Linked DNA regions of Daphnia pulex. The protein of the gene in region 1 purifies or fractionates together with the protein of each later gene. This does not show direct contact. Links are inferred from orthologs where the notes say so. Each region holds a gene or a part of one and is shown on either strand. Other genes may lie near its edges.

Evidence for each region.
Region 2: the proteins of nucleoporin Nup37-like (region 1) and nuclear pore complex protein Nup133-like purify together in Homo sapiens (affinity purification with mass spectrometry; 4 studies listed by BioGRID and IntAct, with this or other methods). This does not show direct contact. The link is inferred for Daphnia pulex from reciprocal best matches to the Homo sapiens genes NUP37 and NUP133.

What each region holds. Positions count from the first base shown.
Region 1 is NC_060025.1:2,846,760-2,856,808, forward strand, and holds nucleoporin Nup37-like, read left to right. Parts: upstream 1-3,663; 5' UTR 3,664-3,869; coding exon 3,870-4,019; intron 4,020-4,112; coding exon 4,113-4,292; intron 4,293-4,353; coding exon 4,354-4,507; intron 4,508-4,577; coding exon 4,578-4,806; intron 4,807-4,893; coding exon 4,894-5,050; intron 5,051-5,121; coding exon 5,122-5,214; 3' UTR 5,215-5,279; downstream 5,280-10,049. Other genes in the region: histone-lysine N-methyltransferase SETD1-like, read left to right, coding at 6,623-6,826, 6,895-6,987, 7,050-7,227, 7,293-7,967, 8,033-8,429, 8,494-8,582, 8,645-8,889, 8,955-9,038 and 4 more. UniProt on the Homo sapiens protein: Component of the Nup107-160 subcomplex of the nuclear pore complex (NPC). The Nup107-160 subcomplex is required for the assembly of a functional NPC.
Region 2 is NC_060023.1:10,061,803-10,072,367, forward strand, and holds nuclear pore complex protein Nup133-like, read left to right. Parts: upstream 1-3,934; 5' UTR 3,935-4,338; coding exon 4,339-4,376; intron 4,377-4,441; coding exon 4,442-4,572; intron 4,573-4,630; coding exon 4,631-4,962; intron 4,963-5,023; coding exon 5,024-5,329; intron 5,330-5,383; coding exon 5,384-6,007; intron 6,008-6,069; coding exon 6,070-6,380; intron 6,381-6,446; coding exon 6,447-6,894; intron 6,895-6,953; coding exon 6,954-7,360; intron 7,361-7,418; coding exon 7,419-7,592; intron 7,593-7,676; coding exon 7,677-7,890; intron 7,891-7,961; coding exon 7,962-8,187; intron 8,188-8,258; coding exon 8,259-8,404; 3' UTR 8,405-8,535; downstream 8,536-10,565. Other genes in the region: uncharacterized protein LOC124198669, read right to left, coding at 8,656-8,711, 8,786-9,128. UniProt on the Homo sapiens protein: Involved in poly(A)+ RNA transport. Involved in nephrogenesis.

The sequences.
Region 1 (10,049 bases):
AATGAACCTGAGTTTATGTTGCAGCTTAACATTACCCTCCTTCAAAATCTTCAGCCCTGTCTTTTATTTTGTATGATGTCAGTTCTATTTTTGTCATTGTCGTTTTTCATCGATTCACGCGTTGTTTTTTCTCTTAACTCCTGTCTTTTGATAGAAATCGAGTTTCTTTTATTTCTTTTCTCTTTTATTTTGAGAAGCGTGCAACAATCGTGTCGTAGTAATTTACCCTTTTTCCAGCATGAATGAATATTTGTTTAATTGTCGCGCTGAGACTTCTTTCTTCCCTCCTGCATTTCCTTTTTATACTTTGTCTGGGCCAAAAAAAAAACTAATTTAAGAAAAAAAAATGTTGGAAGATTTGCCTTAGCCAGAATATTTTTTTTTTAACTTCGCAATCGTCTGATTTGTACACATCCATCGAGTATTCTCTGAAAGATAAGGAATGACATGTGTTCAACTCCGATTCCTCGTCTACCACTATCTCCATCCCGCCCAAATAAAACCGCCACTTCATCTGAAGCATTACTAATACGCAAACGTTTCATTACAATTTTATGAAATTGTTTTGTATAACTGTGGACATTCATTTCGACATCCAACTTGGTTTCATTATAAGTCGGGGTTTTTTATGTTTTTTGTGAAGCTATACTTGGCAGTTAAGAATTTCAAGCCAAACGACTTTTCAAATTTTCATTTGAAACGAAAGTAATCATAATTATTCACATTTTCACTTGCCATTTTTAAAGATAAATCTCATTTTGGGCGGGAATTTAAGCAAGAACTAAGTAGAAACCAATGCGATGCTAGCGACATCTAACTACAATCGAAGTGCTTGATTTGTCTATTTTCTTTTATGGGAAAAAGAAATAGTCAGATCACATGCGTTAGCAAAATATCCAAAGGACTGTTTGTCATTTTTATTTCATTAAAAAATCACGATAGCATATCAATAGTCTGCCAATGGCCGTAATAGACTAAGACTGTGACATCTCGGAGTCACTTGTATTCTATAGCTGTCGCTGTGTTAGAACTTATAAAATTAATTAATATATAAGTATTTACCATACTAGACCATCACGGAATTTCCGGCAAAATTACTACCAATATGACTAATTTAATGTTGGCATGTGGAAACGAACCAACGACGAAAGGACCGAGACGGACCTGATGTTGTTGCTACGCCGTTTCATTAGATTCTCCGATTCTCCCTGATGAACGCAGCAGCACACACACACACAAAGGAGGCAGTGAGGCACTATAGGGACGATACTATAGGGACGATTATTGGTCGGGAAAGAAAATGTCGTTAAAAAAACATGATATTATTATTTTTAAAAAATTCCTCTTTGTGAACTTTGTTTCGACATGCAAATCGTATTGATTAGCACATCACTGCATACGTACAAGTCTAGTTATACACGAATATCACGTGTTCCTATTGCTATGCTTCCATCACTACAGTTCTTCTTTACTTTGTATTTATATTTAACGTTCGATTTAGAGAGTAATTAACTTCTTCCCAGATTGTTGCGCTGAATGGTTCGACGAGTAACTATTCTGGTATGGCTAGCTCAGCCGCCCGTGGTGGTAGCCACGTCGTCTGCCGCCCCAGAACAGTCACTAGAAGCCCTAAGACGTGCTGCAAGTTTTGGGATAGTTAATTTACCTTAGTTGACTCCAAAATCAATGTGTAGTTATAGGTTGCGCCTGATGTAAATTTCAATGGTGTTTAGGGAATTAGTCGAACTAAGCTTGCACCTTTGATATAGGTTATGATAACATTCTAATGCCCTGTTCTTATTCATCAAGATGCGATAAAATATGCTCACTTTTCAATAAAATGATCATTCATTAATAAGGCGCAAATTCAGTCTATATTAATACAAAATCCGTTGTCAATTTTTTCTTGTCTTGACGCAGAAGATACACAGGAGAGAGAAAGGAAGGAGGATGAGCATTTCCCCAGCAGACGGCAAGCCGACCCGAGTGTAGTCCTAAAACTTTCAGTTTAATAGTTTATTTTATCAGAGTTCTCCGATAACTGGCTTAAAAGAAGAAGAAGAATCTAATCAGTAGAGGGAATAGGGAACGCGGGCCAGTTCAGCCAAAAAGCCTCGTACATCACACACGAGATTAATTTCTAGACGGCCAGTAAAGTTGCATATATAGTCAATTGCGTCATTAAAAGGAAAAAAAAAAAACAAATCGAATTTTATATTTTTTCGAAGCCAAACGGAACAATGGGCACGTCTGCATTTTAACTATAGAAAAATCATCAAAGATGATATTAATGAACCCAGTTGATTTTTCTTTTTTCCTTTCGCTCTCTTGTGTGTAATTTCAATCAAGCGCAAAACTCACAACTTTGGTTGGTGTTGTAATATATGGCCACTATAACTCTGCACTCTGTGAACTTGTAGATTTTTTTTTACCCCCCTTCCGCCAGCACTTTGGATTGGTATAAAATGTTGCGCAAGAATAAAATTTTCTTTTTTCTTGGATTTTTCCGGTACGTGAAATAATTTAGGCGACCCCACATCAGAGTGCGTCATTTATATCTTTTCGAGACGCCTTATTTATATTTTGTACTTGGGCAGCAGCTTTTATTTCTTCTTTGAGAAAATGGTGATGTCGGAAAAGAGATTATAATGATGATGAAGCTCCGGATGAGCTTACCGCGCCCGAAATCCATTGGCACTTTCCATTTGATTAATGGCGCAGCGGCATCGGCGGCCCACACACACACGCGCGACTATTTGCTTCATATATCGCGCATCACGTGTGTCCATTAAGGAAAGAAAAAAGATGAATCGAAATATATTTCCCTCGTGTCACGCAAACAGAAATTCAATCGATCTGCGGGATTATCTAATGATTCGGTTAAATGGTAAATTATACTGGGTTATATATTTTCGTTTATTTATAAGGAAGTGTTTTCATTGAAAACACTCGACAAAAATTACATCTTGCATCTGTAACAGACGCAAGACATCTCGTGATAGGAGTTCGAGATTCGATAGATCTCCGCACCAATAATTATAATTATTTAGGGTAATTATAATTATCACACAGATAACTTGTAATTTGTATTTTATGCAACACGGCTCTATAAGTACGGATTTCTTTATAAACTTAGCTAACACCTGAAGCATCACTGAAGTGCGATTTACATAAAAACTACTCGATTTTTTAAATGTTAAGAAATAGTTTATGACGCGCAATTATTTCTTACATAAAGTTCATTTATGAATATCTGCTTTAGTTTACTCGTGTTGTAGTTGTAACACGACGATAAGGCAAATTGCGTAGGTGAGGTTTCCTCGATTATGGGTAAAAACCCTTGCGGATATTGTCTATTATGAGACACAAATGGCGGAACATTTGTGGGGGAGGGGGTGATTCTTTCTTTTTGTCTGTAATCTGTAAAACAGAAATAATATGTTTGATAAATTCCCATATTCGGAAAATTGTGTTCTGCCATTAGTCAAGTTGCTATTAAAAATCTTAGCATGACAGACACATTCTTCTTTTTTGTCCGATATACTCACTGGTAGCGAGGTAATTTAATAACCTATAGCTGTGCGTTAAGAAAAACCATGGAATAACTGACTAATTTTCAGATTGATAAATTTTACTTTTATTGCTTTTATCGCTTTTATCGGCTTTTATAAAACCAGAGTTGATAATTTGATAAAGCGGTTGCAAAAAAAGGCTACTGGCAACAAAGCGACATGAGGGATTGAAATTCGGCAACGTAACTTGGCAGACGTAATTTGTTTTTACAAACCACGAAGCACGAACCACAATCAGAAAACCGATTTGAATTTGTAAAAAGATTTTTAAGTAAAAAAGCCATCATAAAAAAAGAAATGGGCTCTCTTTCCAGACCGTTTCATTCAGTTGGCTTGGGAGATGAAGAGATTTTCTGTCTTTCATTTTCACCATACGAGTGGTCCAAAAATTTCCTAGCAATCGGAACGGAAAATAAGGTGGTCGTTGCCAACGTTCAAAATGAAAACGTAAGCACATTTTGTATTGTCAAAACCTGTCATTACCTACTTGATACATCGTTATGTATCTATTGTTTTACTAATTGCTTTTGTTATCGTCAGGATGAGATTCAGTTCAATGTGATTCGTGAATTTCATCATTTTTGCCCAGTTGTTTCCTTGAGTTGGAGTGCACTCTCATCCAGTGATACAGTTCCTAAAGTCTGCAAATTTGCCACAGCAGGCATTGATGGGAAAATTCGGATTTATACAAGTGATCTTGCTCAATCAGAAAATGTTTTGGTAACAGGTTTAGCATACTTTGAAAGTCTTTTAAAAATAAAAATCAACATTATCTTTATAGGAATTGAGTGGACATGCTGACAATGTCAATTCAATAGCATTTCAACCAGACATCAATGAAAAATTCTTGATCTCTACTTCTGATGATTTTACTTGTAAAATTTGGTCTACAGAGACTGGAGATCTTTTAAAAACAATTCCTCTTCAATCTTCAGGTGATTTATAAATGAGATGTAAAAATGACAAAAATAACACTGTAGGATTAAAATTGGAAACCTTATGTAGGAATGGCCGTTAGATTCAATCCTTCGGAGCCCAGTAAATTCTTAGTGATGGAAAAGTCTGGCGTTACAAGAATCTTCAGTACTTTAAATTTTTCTCCAGTAACTTCTTTGAGCAACAACTTTAGCTGTCAAGACCCGGCTCTTGATGCTGATTGGTCGTCCTGCAATCCCACTCATATTGCGACATCATTAGGAGGTCGAATTCAAAATTGGGATTTAGAGGCATTAAGGTATACTATTATTCTTTACAAATGACATTACTTGAAAGCTGTCGACCATGGCAGATTGTTATTTGATTTCTTGGTTTAAAAAAAAAGGCTTCCAGAAGACACTACAACAGTTTCTTGTGAAATGGTCCGAAAAGTACGCTTTCATTCTACCATCGATACATTGATTGCCGTTCTTGGATCACCAGGCCCTGTTGTGACCGTACTCCGTTCATTAGGACCAGTAATGATAACGGATTCGTTAATGGTAAACTTAGCGTAGCAAATTTTTTTTTAACGTTGAATTTTCATAATAATATGTACTCCATTTAAATTTAGGCTGCCAGCGATCTAAGTTGGCATTATTCTTTACCCCTTCTTGCTGTAGCAAACGATCGATCTGTACGATTTTGGAAATTGCTACTAAAATAATCCCTTATTGTAAATTAATTTTGATTTCTGAATGCTGATCAAATAAAATTCTGAGCTCAACCAAACTTTAACTAACAATTCTCTTGGTAAACATATTTTGTTAAAACTTTTATTGAAAATTCCACTTATTAAGTTATGGTAATTCTTTTCTGTTGTTATATAACATAGGTCCTTAGTAATGACATGCCAATTAACAAACCTAAACAACTTTGACAAAAACATTTATACTTTCTCATATTAAATGATCAAATCCAATATAAGCCCTACTTCTTAAATTTAATATCCTGGAGAAATCATTTGTCACTATGGAATTTTTAAGCATATACATGCATTGAATTCAAAGATTTTTTAAATGATTCCATTAAAATTATATATATTATTAAGTTTTAACAGGAAATTTAACATAAATTTTGTTTGAAGAAACAATATGTTAGCAGGTTATAGCTTGCTGGTAAAGTGGTAACCTAAGTTCCTAATCTAGGCCCTTAATTGCCATAATTACCAGAACGCCAATACGTCTGTTTTTATTGGTCAGCAAATGCTGTTTGGATAAGTTTTCATTTTCTATTAAACTTGAGATCTAATTAAAAGAAAAAGTCAGGAGTCAAAACAATGTTTGTTTTCAAACCCATATCGCAGACTGCCGTTTAGCATGACCTTCGTTTACAAAGGGTTTTCTAAAAAGCGTAACGCAGAGTTCAAAAATGTGGAATGTCGATGATGCGAACCGGCGAGTCGCGAGCAAAAACGCGAGCAATGAAAAATAAGTAGAATAACAAACGAAATGAATGATGAAATTCAACACTAACCAAATGTAGGCAAATATCTAAATCCGATTAAAGTCAATGCACACAATATCAGTCCCAATAAATTCAGTAACTTCCATCTGCTGTACAGTAGGCTGTAGGCTTTTACAATTTAAGTTTTTATAAATATAAATATGCAAATATTTAAGCAACGATAAATGTTTTCAGTATCTTATGCTTTTACTAATATACGTTTTCAGGTTGTCACAATTTGACTCACAATTTAACTGTTTCCTTTCGACTTTTCGAGAGGGGAAAACTTCAAAAGCAGTTCCGCATCACCATTTTGCATTTCCGTATTTGCGTTCCACGAGTCTCTTTTGCGTTTTAGGAAGTCCTTTTTACAAATGGCGAACGTGGATGAGTGTTGAATGTTTGGGGACGTGTTTTGGATTTTTAGTGTTGTCATTTATCATGTACCTCTAAGGTACTTATTTATAATTGTATATTTTAATTTGATTTGATTCACGAGTCATCGTAGAATCATTTAGTAGTAAAAAGTAAATTTTTACTAATTATAAATTTTTTAAATTTTATTGTGCTGTCAGAAACGGTTCGTCTGAAAGCCGTCTTGGTTTGATTTCAAACAACCAACACAAACCATGAATCCGGCAAAGCAGAAAAACTGGAAACTCCTTACAGATCCACTTATAATAAAAGGAGCAGTGAAGCTCTTCCGATATGAAGGGCAAGTTCAAGGAGATCCCACCTACCCTGTAGTTCATGTTCGTGATCCACGTTCACAAATACAAAGGCTTATTTGGTCCAGGCCTGAAGTTCTTGATCTTCCTGTGCCAAGATTCAGGGTACCAATTTCATAAAATTTCTAATTTTGTGTATGTGTAATGTTTACTGATTCATTTTCAATTAACAGATAGATGCAGAGTATATAGGAGACCCACCTTCAGTTGAAGTAACAATATGCAATGTCAATGATAACATTGATAAAGTTTTTCTTGGAGATCTGGTATGTCTTAATATAGTGTTTTAATAGCTGTGCATATTTAAAATATCTTTTGTCGTCTGTAGGTGAAAAAACATGGTCCATTTGAGGAACTTACGATATTTTACCATCCTAAAAACAATAAACATTTAGGTTTGGCTAGAGTTGTATTTGAAAATGTAAAAAATGCTAAATCTTGTGTAGAAAAACTCAATCAAACCTCAGTTATGGGAAGACCTTTGCAAGTGTTTCTTGATCCATTTGGTAATTCACCAGCACTAGTGTCATTTTTTTCTATTGGCTGACAAATATTTCAATTACATTTTTAGGTGCGGAGTGCAAAAAACAGTATGAATCGTTAACTGCAGAGAAAAAGCCTGAAGTTAAACCCGAAATAAAAAAAACTGAACCCAAACCTAACGAGGAGCTCAAAGAAACAGTTATTCCGATTCCTCCGCCAGTGGTGCAAAGGGAGAACAGCAACAGTCAGCAGCAAAACACCAACAATCTTGAAACAGAGGAGCACTATTTTAATTCCAACGGCCATGTCGGCGTCGGTGTCGATGGGCCATTCAGTTTTCCACCACCAGCCTTTTCTGTTCCACCACCTTCTACTGATTTCTATGGAGGATGGCATCAACAGTTTTGGAACACGCCTGCTCCCTCTTGGGTGACACAACCGCCTCCCGAGGCAGCCCTTGTCAACAGTAATCACGAAGAAGAGAAGAAGGATGAAGAACCACTTGTTTTGGATTTGGATTCCCGAATTGAGCTACTCTTGAAGGGGAAGATTTCAGCCGCATTGAACACACCTGCTTTTCTGCAACTTCAGTTAGATGGAAGCAGTAATTCAGGTTCTTCGCGAAGTAGCAGTCGAGCAGCTGATCACGATAAAAATGTTGATCCGTGCGCCAGTCCACCTCTTTCGCCACCTCCTTCTCCCTTCCTCTCTCAAGAAATCTATTTGGAGCATTACAAAGCTGCACACCCAGAGCCCCCACAAGGTATGTGCTCTTAAAGTTTACCGTTATCTACGTAAACATTTTTCTAATGGATTTTTTCCCCTCAGCCATCCGATTGAGTGGAGAGATACTTAATGACGAAATGAGCTTATCCAGTTTAAGCTCTGGAGATGAAAAAATTTTCAACTCTGATGGAACAAAAATTGAAATCGACGACCAAAACGCAGCAGCTCCGTCATTCTCATCTCAATTCTTTCCACCACCTCCCAACTACTCGGCTAATGATCCTTACTTCGCATGGCGGGGTATGTATGGGAATGCATACGCTCAGCCCTCCGCTTTCGCCTCGGGAACAAATAATCCTGCTTACCCCAATTTCAATTATCCCCCGCCAAATGGGTATCCTCCTTACGCCGATGCATCTCAACCGTCTTCAGCCCCTCCTACGCAAAGCTCTGCTTTACCCGAACAAAGCACCGAGGATCCTCATGCTGCAACTATCGAGTAAGTGTTTTTAGCTTTCAAATTGTTAAGAGACTCCCTTTCTACAAATATTTGTTTTTAACAGGGGAGTCGTGGATCGAATAGTGGCGGAATTGAAACAAATTTTGAAAAAAGATTTCAATCGACGAATGGTTGAGGGAACGGCATTTAAAGGTAAACTTCAGTTTGACAATATTTTACAATCGTTTAACCTGACTCTTGTTCGTGTTCAATAGCATTTGAAAATTGGTGGGATGAGCAAAGTAAACAGGAAGCCAAGGGACCTGCAACGAAATCTATTTCTCTGGGCTCATCAGCATCAGTGCTTCCGCAACCCGTCCAGCCATTAACGCAAACTAGCGAACAACAACCACAGGCCGCCGCCGCTAAGAAAGTGGGTTTCGGGTTTGAAGGTCTCAACTTAGGTTTTGGATTAGGTTTAGGACTCAGGGCTTCCATGCCTAAGCTTCCTTCATTCAGGGTATGTAAACAACATAAATGGTATTTGTCGCTTAGACGCTACAATTAACAAATTAATTTCCACAGAGGAAAATCAGACCACCTTCACCACCACCTATGGATGATGATTCTCGAAGGAGATTGCACGATTCCGACGATGAATCTAGAGACGTAAATTGAACTTTGTTAACCTTATTTATTTGCTGTCCTTTTAATTTCGTTTGAATTGCTTACAGAACCGGAACGATAGACGATACGGTCAAAGAGGTCGTGGTTCTTTGCGCTCCTTGTATAGTAGTAGTAGCAGCAGTAGTAGTAGCAGCGAAGATGAAGTAAGTTGAACAATTTTTTGCGTAGTTGATCACAGTTAATTTTAAACTTATAAATATTCCAGGATCTTGATGATAGAAGACGAAAGCGGAATCGACGGCAACGAGGAAGTGTGTCATTTTCTTCATCATCGTCTAGCTCCGAAGATCGATCCCATTCGGATTCCGATTCCATTTCCGGAGCCGAAAGTATTAGTGAGGGAAGTCTACCTGATTCACCCCGTCCACTGACGAATAAAGTGAGCCGGAAAGAAATCAACTTAGAGGTGAATTTGATTTCTTTCTTTTCAACGTTGTAAATCCTTTTACTTACGTGTGTGTTTTTTTTAAACAGTTGGAGGAAGTATCTCCAGATAGGCCACCAACTCCCGGTACGCCTGATATTCGCGAAGAACCCGAGGATCGTTTGATTCACCTTATCGATCAGGTCAAAGAGAAAGAAGATAGTGACAGTTCGGCATCTTCGACGGCGTCTTTTGTTTACAAGGATCATTGCTATTCATTACCTCCCAAAGAGGAGCCTCCAGACGCTAAAGGCTCTTCCGCCTCTCCATCGCCTATTCGTGTGGATCATCTGTACAATAAGGTGAAATTGGAGAAGCCTCCCAAAATCTCGAGCAAGCTCAAAAATGCCGAACCACTCAAAAAGAAGCAACCAAAGGTAAAGTATTCTTGTATTGTATCAACAGTCATTTCGATTTAGTTTTCTAACCATCTTTTTTGATTAAATGTAGGCGGAGGTTAAACGCGTTCGTGAATCAACGACACCAGACCCAGTCTTACCTATTAGAAAGACTTTCCCGCAGCGTGATATGATGGAAGAAATGGCATACTTTTACGAATTTCTGGCCAA
Region 2 (10,565 bases), on another chromosome or scaffold:
AAATAACATTGACGAATTTTTGTTTGTTTATTCCCCCCCCCCTCCTTGGAAAAAAACAACGTGACATAACAACACTGACCAACTCTCACACAGCCAATGCCAATAAAGAAAGACGCCAACAAACGTGACGTCACGTTTTGATTTTTTGCCATCGATAAGAAAAAAAATTGTTGTCCCGCAAAAAATGTCGCAATTATCAACTGGTATTGTTCTGTTAACGAGCCTCTATAATTTTGTTTTATTTTTAAAAAAAGAACAAGAAAGACAATTTGGTCATACATCAAAAAGCGACTGGATTCAAGCAAAAATCGGCTTGTTACATTTGTAGTTTTTTGGTTATTATTTATCGATTCATTTAAATGCTGGTCCCCGGTCGTGAGGACAACTTCTTTTTTCAACTCGAATAATAATAAAAAAAGAAACAACAACAACACTCGGTTCGTGATTGCCGCGACACGCAAAGTTAAACAAAAGGAGAATGCACGCCAAAAAAAGAAGAATCGGGAAAATAGGAGGCTATACATCCATTTTCTCGTCAAAGTTCTTTTATTTTTTATTCGGCAAGTTGTTGGTTCGATATTTCCACCCAGTTCTCCTTGATTGGAAGACATCCAACTTGAAATGAGTTGTCATAATATCGATCTGTTGGAGCGGTGCTAATCACTTAAATGTCTGCCGAAAAAAATAAAACTAAAAAAAAAACTTTTTTTGATATTAAAAAGAATCAAAGCCCCCCGGGTGGTGGGTTCGTTCAATTTATTTCTCCACCCTAGTCACGGCTCATGGCTCACGAGAATAATTGTGTGATTAGATTTCACGATAGATTTACGAGTCTTTGATGCTAATCTTGGACGGCGGCTGGTTTTCCCTTTTGTTTCTTTCTTTTAAAAAAATACTCCCACCCAAAAGTCCTCGTAAATTCAAAACAACAGACACACAAAAATAATAATAATAAAGATTACTGCACATACTCGATTCAACTCCATCTTAAGAGAACAAAAAAACACACTGGATGATTGTAGCAAAAAAAAAAAAACCTTATATATTTATTATATAGCTTCCCCCCCCCCCACAAGATTTTTACCATTAAAAGACGCCCAAGTCGTAAACCCCCTGCAGTGTAGTTTTTTTTCTTTTTCTTCATGTCAGTTTTGGAACCGTGATGAAGTTGATATCAACCATTCTCCCAACAAATATTTTACGAGTAAAGAAAAAAGGGGAGAAAATGAAAAAGAAAAATATACTCGTATGTGTGTGTGTGCTTGGGCATTCATCAATAAATCAATAAGACCTCCCTCTCTCTCTCTTTTATCGCCCTTCAGGGTTTTTTTCCTTCTTCTTATCAAAATAAAAAGAAGGTCATTTAAAAATGTATAATAGGAAAAAAAACGGGTTTTTCTTCCTTTTTTTGATGGGATTTATATATCCACTTTGAAATGGATTTTCGAGAGAGAGAGAAAAGTCCACTCTCATTAAATTCTTCCGCATCACATTGCGGAGTACACACATTGTACAGCTCCAAGAGAGAGACGTACTACTAACAATCAAGGATCCAATTTTCTAATTAAAATCTTTCCACGGCTGTCGGACTGTGAGAGAGACTCTACAAGGTGCAACAGTGCGAGTAACTGCAATCATCGTCCGATTGAATTCAAAGGATTTGACTCTTTTTTTTTTCAAATTCACAATTGAAACGCCCCCTTTTATCCCATTTCAGAAACTCGATTCAAACTAACTTTACGGATTTTTTTTTTAAACATAACATTAAATACGCATATTTGATTACCTAGACACGATAACCGTCTGTGAGCTTTGACCGCAGATATCAAAAAGCCCATCCTCTTATATATATATACCATTGATGAATAACAAACAAATCACGAAAAACAAATGACGACCGGCCCTGACTGTAGAGCTCGGGAGTTAAGGGTGAGATTTTTTCTCTCTTTCGGGTGAACTTTCAACTTTTTCACGATTAGAAGATCGTTCACATTTTCGATAGAAAAATTTCAATGAAATATGATTTTGTTGGAAATGTCCTTGAATCAACGATCGTATCTCGCCTTCAATTCCAATATATCCAATCGTGACTAGATAACAACTTCTTTTTTAAAAATTTTTAAAGGGGTCACATCTAAAAGTATTGATCGCCGTCAATGGGTGGAACAACTTTGTGTAAACACGGAGCCCTTCAACGCCACCAGCTGATAGGAACAACACACACAAAAAAGGTAAACATTCAAAAAATGTTCCCGTACAAAAAAGTGTACACAGCGCGGTCTATATATTTTTTCCCCCGTTCAAAAACTTTGAAAAAAGGATTTTATATTTTTTGTAAACCCCGTGTGTGTGTGTGTTTTAACACCCCCGCAGGTGACGTCATCTCCTGGCATCTGGAACAACATTCACACCTCTCCCCCTAAAACATAACATTCTCACATTGATCTTTTTTCCCTTTCCATTTTCAAAGGAAAAGGAAAAAACACGAAGTAAAATTGGATTGTGTCGGGAGGATATAACGAGGTGAAAGACGAGAACGGAATCTAATAACCCCCCCAACAAAAACTATTCCCCCCCGTTTGTTTGATATTTCAATCCTAAAAAGAAGAAAAAAGGTTTCGTTCGGGGAGTATTTAGGTCACGTAGAGAGTTATGGAAATGTGTATCGGAAATGGATTTCAATATACACACACACACGAAAAAACGATCCTTATCGATTTGATGAATATTTTTTCTTCCCTCCTTCTACTTTTGGAAATAACTCCTCCCTGATTTCCCCCCCCCCCTCTCCAGTCTATTTCGATAAACATCACCCTCTAAAAAAGAGAAAAAAAACGTTCGTGTCGTGAGTGGAGGAATGCAGCTGTGCGGTAATCATAGTGAGCACGTCCATTTTAAAAGGGAAAAAAAAAGCTTTTAAAAAACAAGAAAATTTTTAGTTGTTTTTGTTTCTTCAATTTGAAAGGAAAATAAGCACTTGGAGGGGAAACTAATATTATCACCTCTTTCACTTCTTATTCTTGTGTGCTAGAGAATAACACATGTACACACACACTCGCAGGTACCGGAAGGAAAATCTATCTGAAACTTCCGGGGAGGGATATCAAAAAAGTTTTGTTTCATTTCCCCCCAGCACGTTGTTTGAGCTACATCCCGTTTTAATATACATACACAACGATCGAGAAATATTTTAATTATTCGTCACGTTGTAGCCTATATAATCCGGAATTCGTCAATATATCTAAAAGGAAAGGCGGATAAATCTAGAACTGTACACATCACACACACGCACGTATACAGCCCAACAACACTGGTTTCGTGATGTTTGTGCTATCGTCCCGTTTGGGAATATATAGCATGCCCTAGCTCCTGGCTCGACCGCAATTGTATCCAACTCTTAATAAGTTAGTCCTATCTCACTAATCTTTTCATTTCAAATGGGTGGGGAAAAAACGTGGAAGAAGATGGAGATAAAATATAATCGTTCACTCACCGATGACGTTGATTGTATCTAGACGGTTGTAGATGATTTAAAAACTCACTCACAACACACTAAAAACCACGAGGTAATAGAAAAAAAGGTAATCCTCTTCAAGTTTTCCAACAAGGCCCGTTGTGAAAAGATGGTTGTTGCATCGAGCGTGGCGAGATTTGCGTTCAACTTTTTGGGAATTTGAGAAACCAAAAGATAAAAATGGCTTGAAAGTAATTTCCAAGACTTGGTTTGCCCCCACCACCACTTTCGTTCTCGTTCTTTCCTGTTGTTTTTGTCCCGCACCGGTTCACGTTGGCCGGGGTAGGTGGGACGGTCGTGACTCGACTCTCGACTGCAACTGACTCGGATCGGACGATTCGGCTCGTGCTCGACCATTCTGCTCACCAGAGGCGCCACTAGTAATCGACTTCCTTGATGTATCCATCCGCCCGTTAAATAGATCCTCGTTTACTTTATCAGATCAATTACGCAATTCAATCAAGTAACACATGAATCAATTAAAGTAGGTTTAACTTTAATGTTCAATTTACATGCATCGCTGTGTCAAATGAAAAACATTTTCACCAATTTCACCAATCAGTTTTCTTGAATTATTGTGCTAAATTTAATCTGAAATGATACTTTAGTATTTAATATGATTTTAAAATCCAAATTCATGTATGCAAAACACATCATTAAAAAAATAAGAGAAGAAAAGTAAAAGAAATTGAGTTGTATGAGGCACGGCAACATTGCGCCGCCATTAGCACCGTCAGATTTTATTTTTAAACGTGCCAGACGACAATTTTTTCAAAATATCTCAAGTCTCTAAAAAGTGAAGGAACTGAATAAATACCGAACAAATGGATAGAAAAAATTTGCTGAAAGCCGGGCGGAGAAAGTATGTGTTAAACAAGTTGTGTTAAGTTGATCAAACATGCTAAGATCCCATTTTCTTTCTTTCAGTTCATTGAATGTCAGTTCACGTTCGTTGAATGCATCATCTCGTAATTTGGCTGAATCGTCAAATTATGCCTTAGAAAATTATGGGACAGCTTTACCCGTAGCTGTAATTGAACTCATTTCCTCGGCAGAAAGTAAGTTGATAAATATGTGACCCTACTCGACCAAATTAAATTTCATGTTCGCTTTCAGGGAAAGCGGAATGCAGTGTTACACTGTCTAAAGATGGCTGGGCCTGGTTTGTGTGTGGACGGCAACTTGTCATATGGAAGTACTCCAAGGCGGCTGGTGCCAACACAGTATCAACACCTTCAAGGAAATCAATTGCTGTTTCTTCCCCAAAGTCTCATGAGTTGACCTTACCTCCAAGTGATCTAGCACACAAATCAGATCTTGTGGCGGTTTTCTGCTCAGAAGCTGACAGTGTCCCATCGTGCATTGCTGTGTCACCAGAAGGAACTGTCCGTTACTGGGATTCCATTGCTCACGAAAACTTTTTTGTTGAAATCAATGCTGATCTTCAGGTAAAATTTCAGATTAAAATTCTTATCGAACAACAAGTAATTGCAGTATTGAAATTAACAGGGTCAAGAATGTGATACTCTGAGTGAAGCTATGCCTCTGGGCTGTTTGGTAGCCACAACAACTGCCAGTGTCCTGCTGTTGACACCTCGCCTGACTGATGGCAGTCCCAACATACAGTGCCGGAATTTCAAGACACCGCAGGGACTATTAGGTTCCATTAGCCGTAGAATGTCGTCGTTGATATTTGGACCCATTTCAACACATCAGTCGATGGAGACACGGCTAGTCAAACTATTGAGCCAGAAAAAAGATAGTCACACTTTGGAAGTTCAAATCCTTTGCAGTCAAACTTTGCAGTATTGGCAGGTAAATCTACATAAAAATCTGCAAGATAACCCACTAAACTTGTTTTGTGTCTAGGTTGGTGAAACAGAGCGGCTATTATATCAGTGTGATATTGACAAATGGGCTAGGGAGTCTCTTATTGCGCACGTCTGGAGCCGAAGTGACCGCAACAGCATCCACAAATTGAGAGTCTGGATTCTTGATGCCCAAGTTTACAAAAACGACTTAATCTTGCTGATCGCCGCCTCCAATCCCAACCTGAGTTCCCAAATCCAATACGCCTTGGCCGCTCTGCCAATGCAAAGTAGCTCGCCACCTACTGGTTTTTCCTCCTTTTGTGTCCTCAAGTATGCCACAGCCATGGCTGAGCGATCAGATTCATCTTTACAGGAATCGTCCCCTCCCCAGTGTCGCTTTGTTCTCGTGGGATCGACGGCCTACTTGTACTCTGATAAATGGATCCTGTGTGTACCGTCCAACGAGCCACTAGAAGAACCCGACAAGCTTGAAGTCAAGGCTGCCAATGAACGTTTCCTAGGTGCAGGAGTCTTTAATCAGCGACCCGTTTTCTTCTCTACCCGTCACGGTGTTTTGATTTTACAACCTTCAATCGGTGGACCGAATGACAGCCAATCTTTTATTGATGAATCCATTATGGAACATTCCCAGATTATGGCCGAAAACCTTGATCCCGCCCAGGTATGTTGAAAAGTTTATCAGTGTTTTTCAAGGTGAATTACAGCATTTCATTTTACTTGCAGAATGAATCTACCTCATCAAAATTGAGATTGGCTTTCATCAATTTCTGTCGCAAAAATATTTATGAAACACAGTCGCTTCTAGAAGAATTATTTGCCTCTCCAACCAGTAAAGGCCAAATAGATTCGCTCATGGATAGAATGGTGGTTGATTTCAGTCAACAAATCATCGACGACTATCCAGCCACAGATCCTCGTTGGACAGATTCAGTTCCAGCTGGCCACGAGTCAACGTTCACCACCGTCTCCTTATTAGTCCTGCATCAGTTGGAAGATAAAGTCAAGGCTCACGACCTGTTCCTTACTTTCCTTCGGTACGTCACACTATATACTAGTCTTTATTCATTAACATTCTGTTCACGTTTTCAAAAATTATTCAGGAACATGTCAATTTGGGGCGACTTGACAGCCATTGGTGACCGTCGCGGTGCTAAATCTAGTGCATTTGTTTTGATGGAACATGCCGAGAAATTGCGTGCATCCTTGGCCCTACGAGCCCTTCATACGCCTGGTTCAACACTTATTGATGCTTCCATCCGACGGGTCCTTCAAGAAAGAGCAGTCGAACTGACAAATGACAAATTGACGCAGCAGGATCTCTTCTACCGACACATTACTGCGCTAGGAGATTTTTTTCCTTGCTTTGTGGATGTCGTCTGCGAAACTGTGGCCAACATGAGTGGCTCTCCATCCGATAAAGTTAAACCAATCAGCAACGCTACGAATTTCATAATTGCCATGACCAATGCTGCCCGCGACTACAGGGCTCGCAACATTGAGCTGCTGGAGCAATGCGAAAACAGTTTCGAAACCCTGCCCTGGATCGCCGTAATTATCTCTTATAATCCGCTCGTATTAGAAAAGTCTTGACACGTTTCTCTTTGCAGTCACCTGGACCCAGAAGCGTTCGGTCTTCCATTATTCGGCTGCTACATCTCTTAGTCGAGGAAGGAGTGGCCAATGCGGATGACGCAGGTCTCCGAAGCAATCTCTGGAGTCAGGCCGCTAATCTAACCGACATCTTACTCGACGCTCTTAAAATGTACCTGGAGAGTTGCGATGAGCACAGCCCATCTTTCGCCCAGGTGAAGCAGGAGGTCCAATCGGAGCGAAGCGCCATCTTAGAGCTATTCCTCAGAGGACGTGAATTTGAGCGGGTAGCCCTGCTGGCCGAAAAATACGTGGACTTTGGAGCCTTACTCACCGTCTGCGATGAAACCATGAACGAAAACAAGTTGAACGTTTACATAGACAAACTCGGTGAATCTGGGTTTACTGAATTCGCCTGCAAATGGTACGTGGTTGTCTAATTAATTACCTTTAAACCTTCATTTAATTGACTCCGTAATAAGGTACATGCAACGCAATCAACGCGAGAAGTTGCTACGACTCCGTCGATCTGAAGTCAGCACTTTTCTCGAGGGCCATCCTGACATTCTGTGGGTGGATCAGTCAGAAAGCGAAAACTATTTGGACGCAGCTCACACTTTGACCAATTTGGCATGTGTAGAGAAAGATCTCTATAGGTAACACATCTTAGAAATAATGTACTTCAATGTGATTGCCCAGGATTGCAAGTTTCAAAACTATTCCTCTTCTTTCCTGTCAAGTCGGAAGAGAACGCTGCTGAGCCTAGCGAAATTACATCTTGTCACTGAAGAAAAGTTGGGCCCTGATCCGGAAGTCGTTCAAGCAGAACTCGAGAACGTAGAGGCTGAACTCGCATTACTCACGCATCAGGAGCAACTTCCAGTCGTGGTTTTACAAGCTTACGACATCGACCCTAACACTATGCGTGTGTTCACCGCCTCCGAATTGATGGAGGTTTGCCATCATCAATCAAAGAAATTCTTTTTCAAAAAATGATTTTCAACCTTTATTTCTTTACATTCTAGATGTACATTTGCGACGAGAATGTTTTAGCCAACGAACTGGACTTTAAAAAGGCGCTGGATTTGTTGAATTTCCTCGAGAATCAAGAAGAAAGAGAATCTCGTCGACTTGGAATCTGGGCGCGGGCCATTCTACGAGATGCGTGGACACAGTTTGACACGGACAATGTGCTGCAGTCAATCAGCGGAACGATCTTTTTTAAGATTATTGAGTTTTCTCTTGGCACTGGTACAATTACTAAAATATTTCGAGGCTATTAGTCAGTTGGCTCCTTCATTGACGATGTGTTATTTGCGCAGGCGAAGATCTGGCCGATTTACTGCCCAACCCAGAAGAAATCCTGCGTGAGCCGCAGTTATCCGAATTGGCCGGCAATGACGTGTTCCAGTTTCTGCTGAAGGCCGTCTACGAGCACGTCAATTCTCTAATGGAAGCTACTCGCTAAATATATAAAAGATAATGATGCTTCATTTCCTCTTTGTTTATTTTTAGTTTTTCTTACGTGTCAAAAATGAGTTTGTGTGTCTCCAAGACAACACCAAGAAAAAAAGAAAAAATACAAATTCCCCATTTTCACATTGTTTGTCTTTTTTTTTTTAAACAAGGAAAACACTCGACCAGAATGTGTAAAAGTGTTGTTCAATCTTCTTGTATTTAAAGAGCTTTACGACGACGACGATTTGTGTACATCCTTTTTTAGAAGAGAGCAGATGGTTTGCCTTCCATCGGAGACGTTAGATTGCCGTGAGCTACTGGATTGGGGGAAAGGAAGAAACAAACAAGGAAATCAACATGTCTTGTGAGTCGATTGATTTGCTAAACATACCGTCGTCGGTGCTGAGACTGCAGTTGCCAAGAAGTGGCCGTAAAAGAGGACTACTGCTCTTGGAATGGCCCAAAAGGTGAGAAGTAGTAGAGTTGCTAGTGTAAGTCACTAGAGTGCTGTTTTGATTATTAGTTGTCGGATCCCAGATAAAGAAATAGTACAACGAGAGAACAGCAGCTGCTATGGAAACACTGCAAATGTATGCAACGACGGTGAAGACGCGGATGAGACTGGTGTTTCTCTCGTGTCCCCTATGGGTCTTGTGATTTTCACCTGGCATTATCACGCTGGAATAGGCCGGCTTCGACTCGAAAAGTTTGTTCAAACAATCACTACCACCCATGACTATTGATTTCAATGAAATCAATGTCAAACTTGAAGAAGAAATCCAACAGAAATGTATAGTATATCCGATTGGGACGAAAGGGTTGTCGAATCAAATAACACAGACGCGTCACAAACAAAGAAAGTGTGATAAATTGCGAATTGAAAGAAAAAAGAAGAAAACCGTTTAGAAAAGAGAACTGGGAAAATGACCGACTGGAACTAAAAGGGAAGTCTGCTCGAATGCCTTAAACCGACGCCTTTTAGTTTATTTACTTGATGGACCAAACAGGAACCGGTGGGGGGGAGCCATTTTAGAACACAACGACGCATCTTCATCAGCATCCCTACAAGCATGTTGACATGAAAGAAAGAAAAAGGGCGAAACGGAGAAGGGATAGAAAGAAAAGAAATCGTGCATAGCTCCCGCGCATGCTCTTTGGCTGCTGTTCCTTTTTTACAATCAAGTTTCTTGTCTTTTTGGTCTTTCCCTTGAGCCTCTTTAGACCGCGCTGTCGGCTCGGATTCAATACAAGGACAACCAGGGAAAAGGTCTTCATCTAAGGGCCTTAAACGTCCAAAACGGGCTTACTCTCACCCCAGCAGGATCGTTCAATCTTGTCAGAGCTTAAGACCGCGCTCACTCCTACATCAATGTCTATAAAAGTCCGTATATCAGAAAGATTGAAACACAATTTCCCTGTTAGTTCCCACACCGACTTATTAATTGCGCACTATACGAAATCATCTCCGGGCGGAGGCAGCGTGAGAGAGTTTGACGGGTCTACAACACTTCCGATTCCGGAATATAAAACAAAAAAATACATATGAAACAAAGACGTAGAAACTTAACAGTCTATTCGAGCGGGGAGGGTTTCCAAACGCATTGCACGTATTCCCACCATCACTACCGAAGCCGGCAGCAGGATCCTTGAAGCGATCAATATATATGAAACACTTTGCAGAAAAGAGAGAGAAAAAAAAACAAGATCGTGAGGCACATATTAAGTATAATTGACAACAAAGCTGAACGTGACTGGATTTGTGAAGCAACCGAATAATAATAAAAAAAATGTTTCGTGAACGCGAATTAATTTCTCGGTCGAATTCGAGTTGTGAGCCATCAGCATAATCGGAATCGAAAAGTCGCAAATGGAGTCGCCAGCTTACGTGGGTGTGGCGTTATTATCAAATTAACTTGGCCACGTCGTTGATGGAACTAATTGATTTTAAAAGACGCATCGGTAGTAGTAGACCCTCCCTTTAGGCTTGTCAATGTGTATGAACTCTGCTCTCTAGCTTGTTAATATTATAGAGACTGGCTGTAGTAACTACTTGGGAACGGCGATCAAATTGAGTGCAGATCAACATCTGAATCTTCTTGGGCTTGGGGCCCATTTCAGAGTCTACACGGAATTTTCTTGCCGACGTTGGCTCATTGGTAAAAGAGAAAATC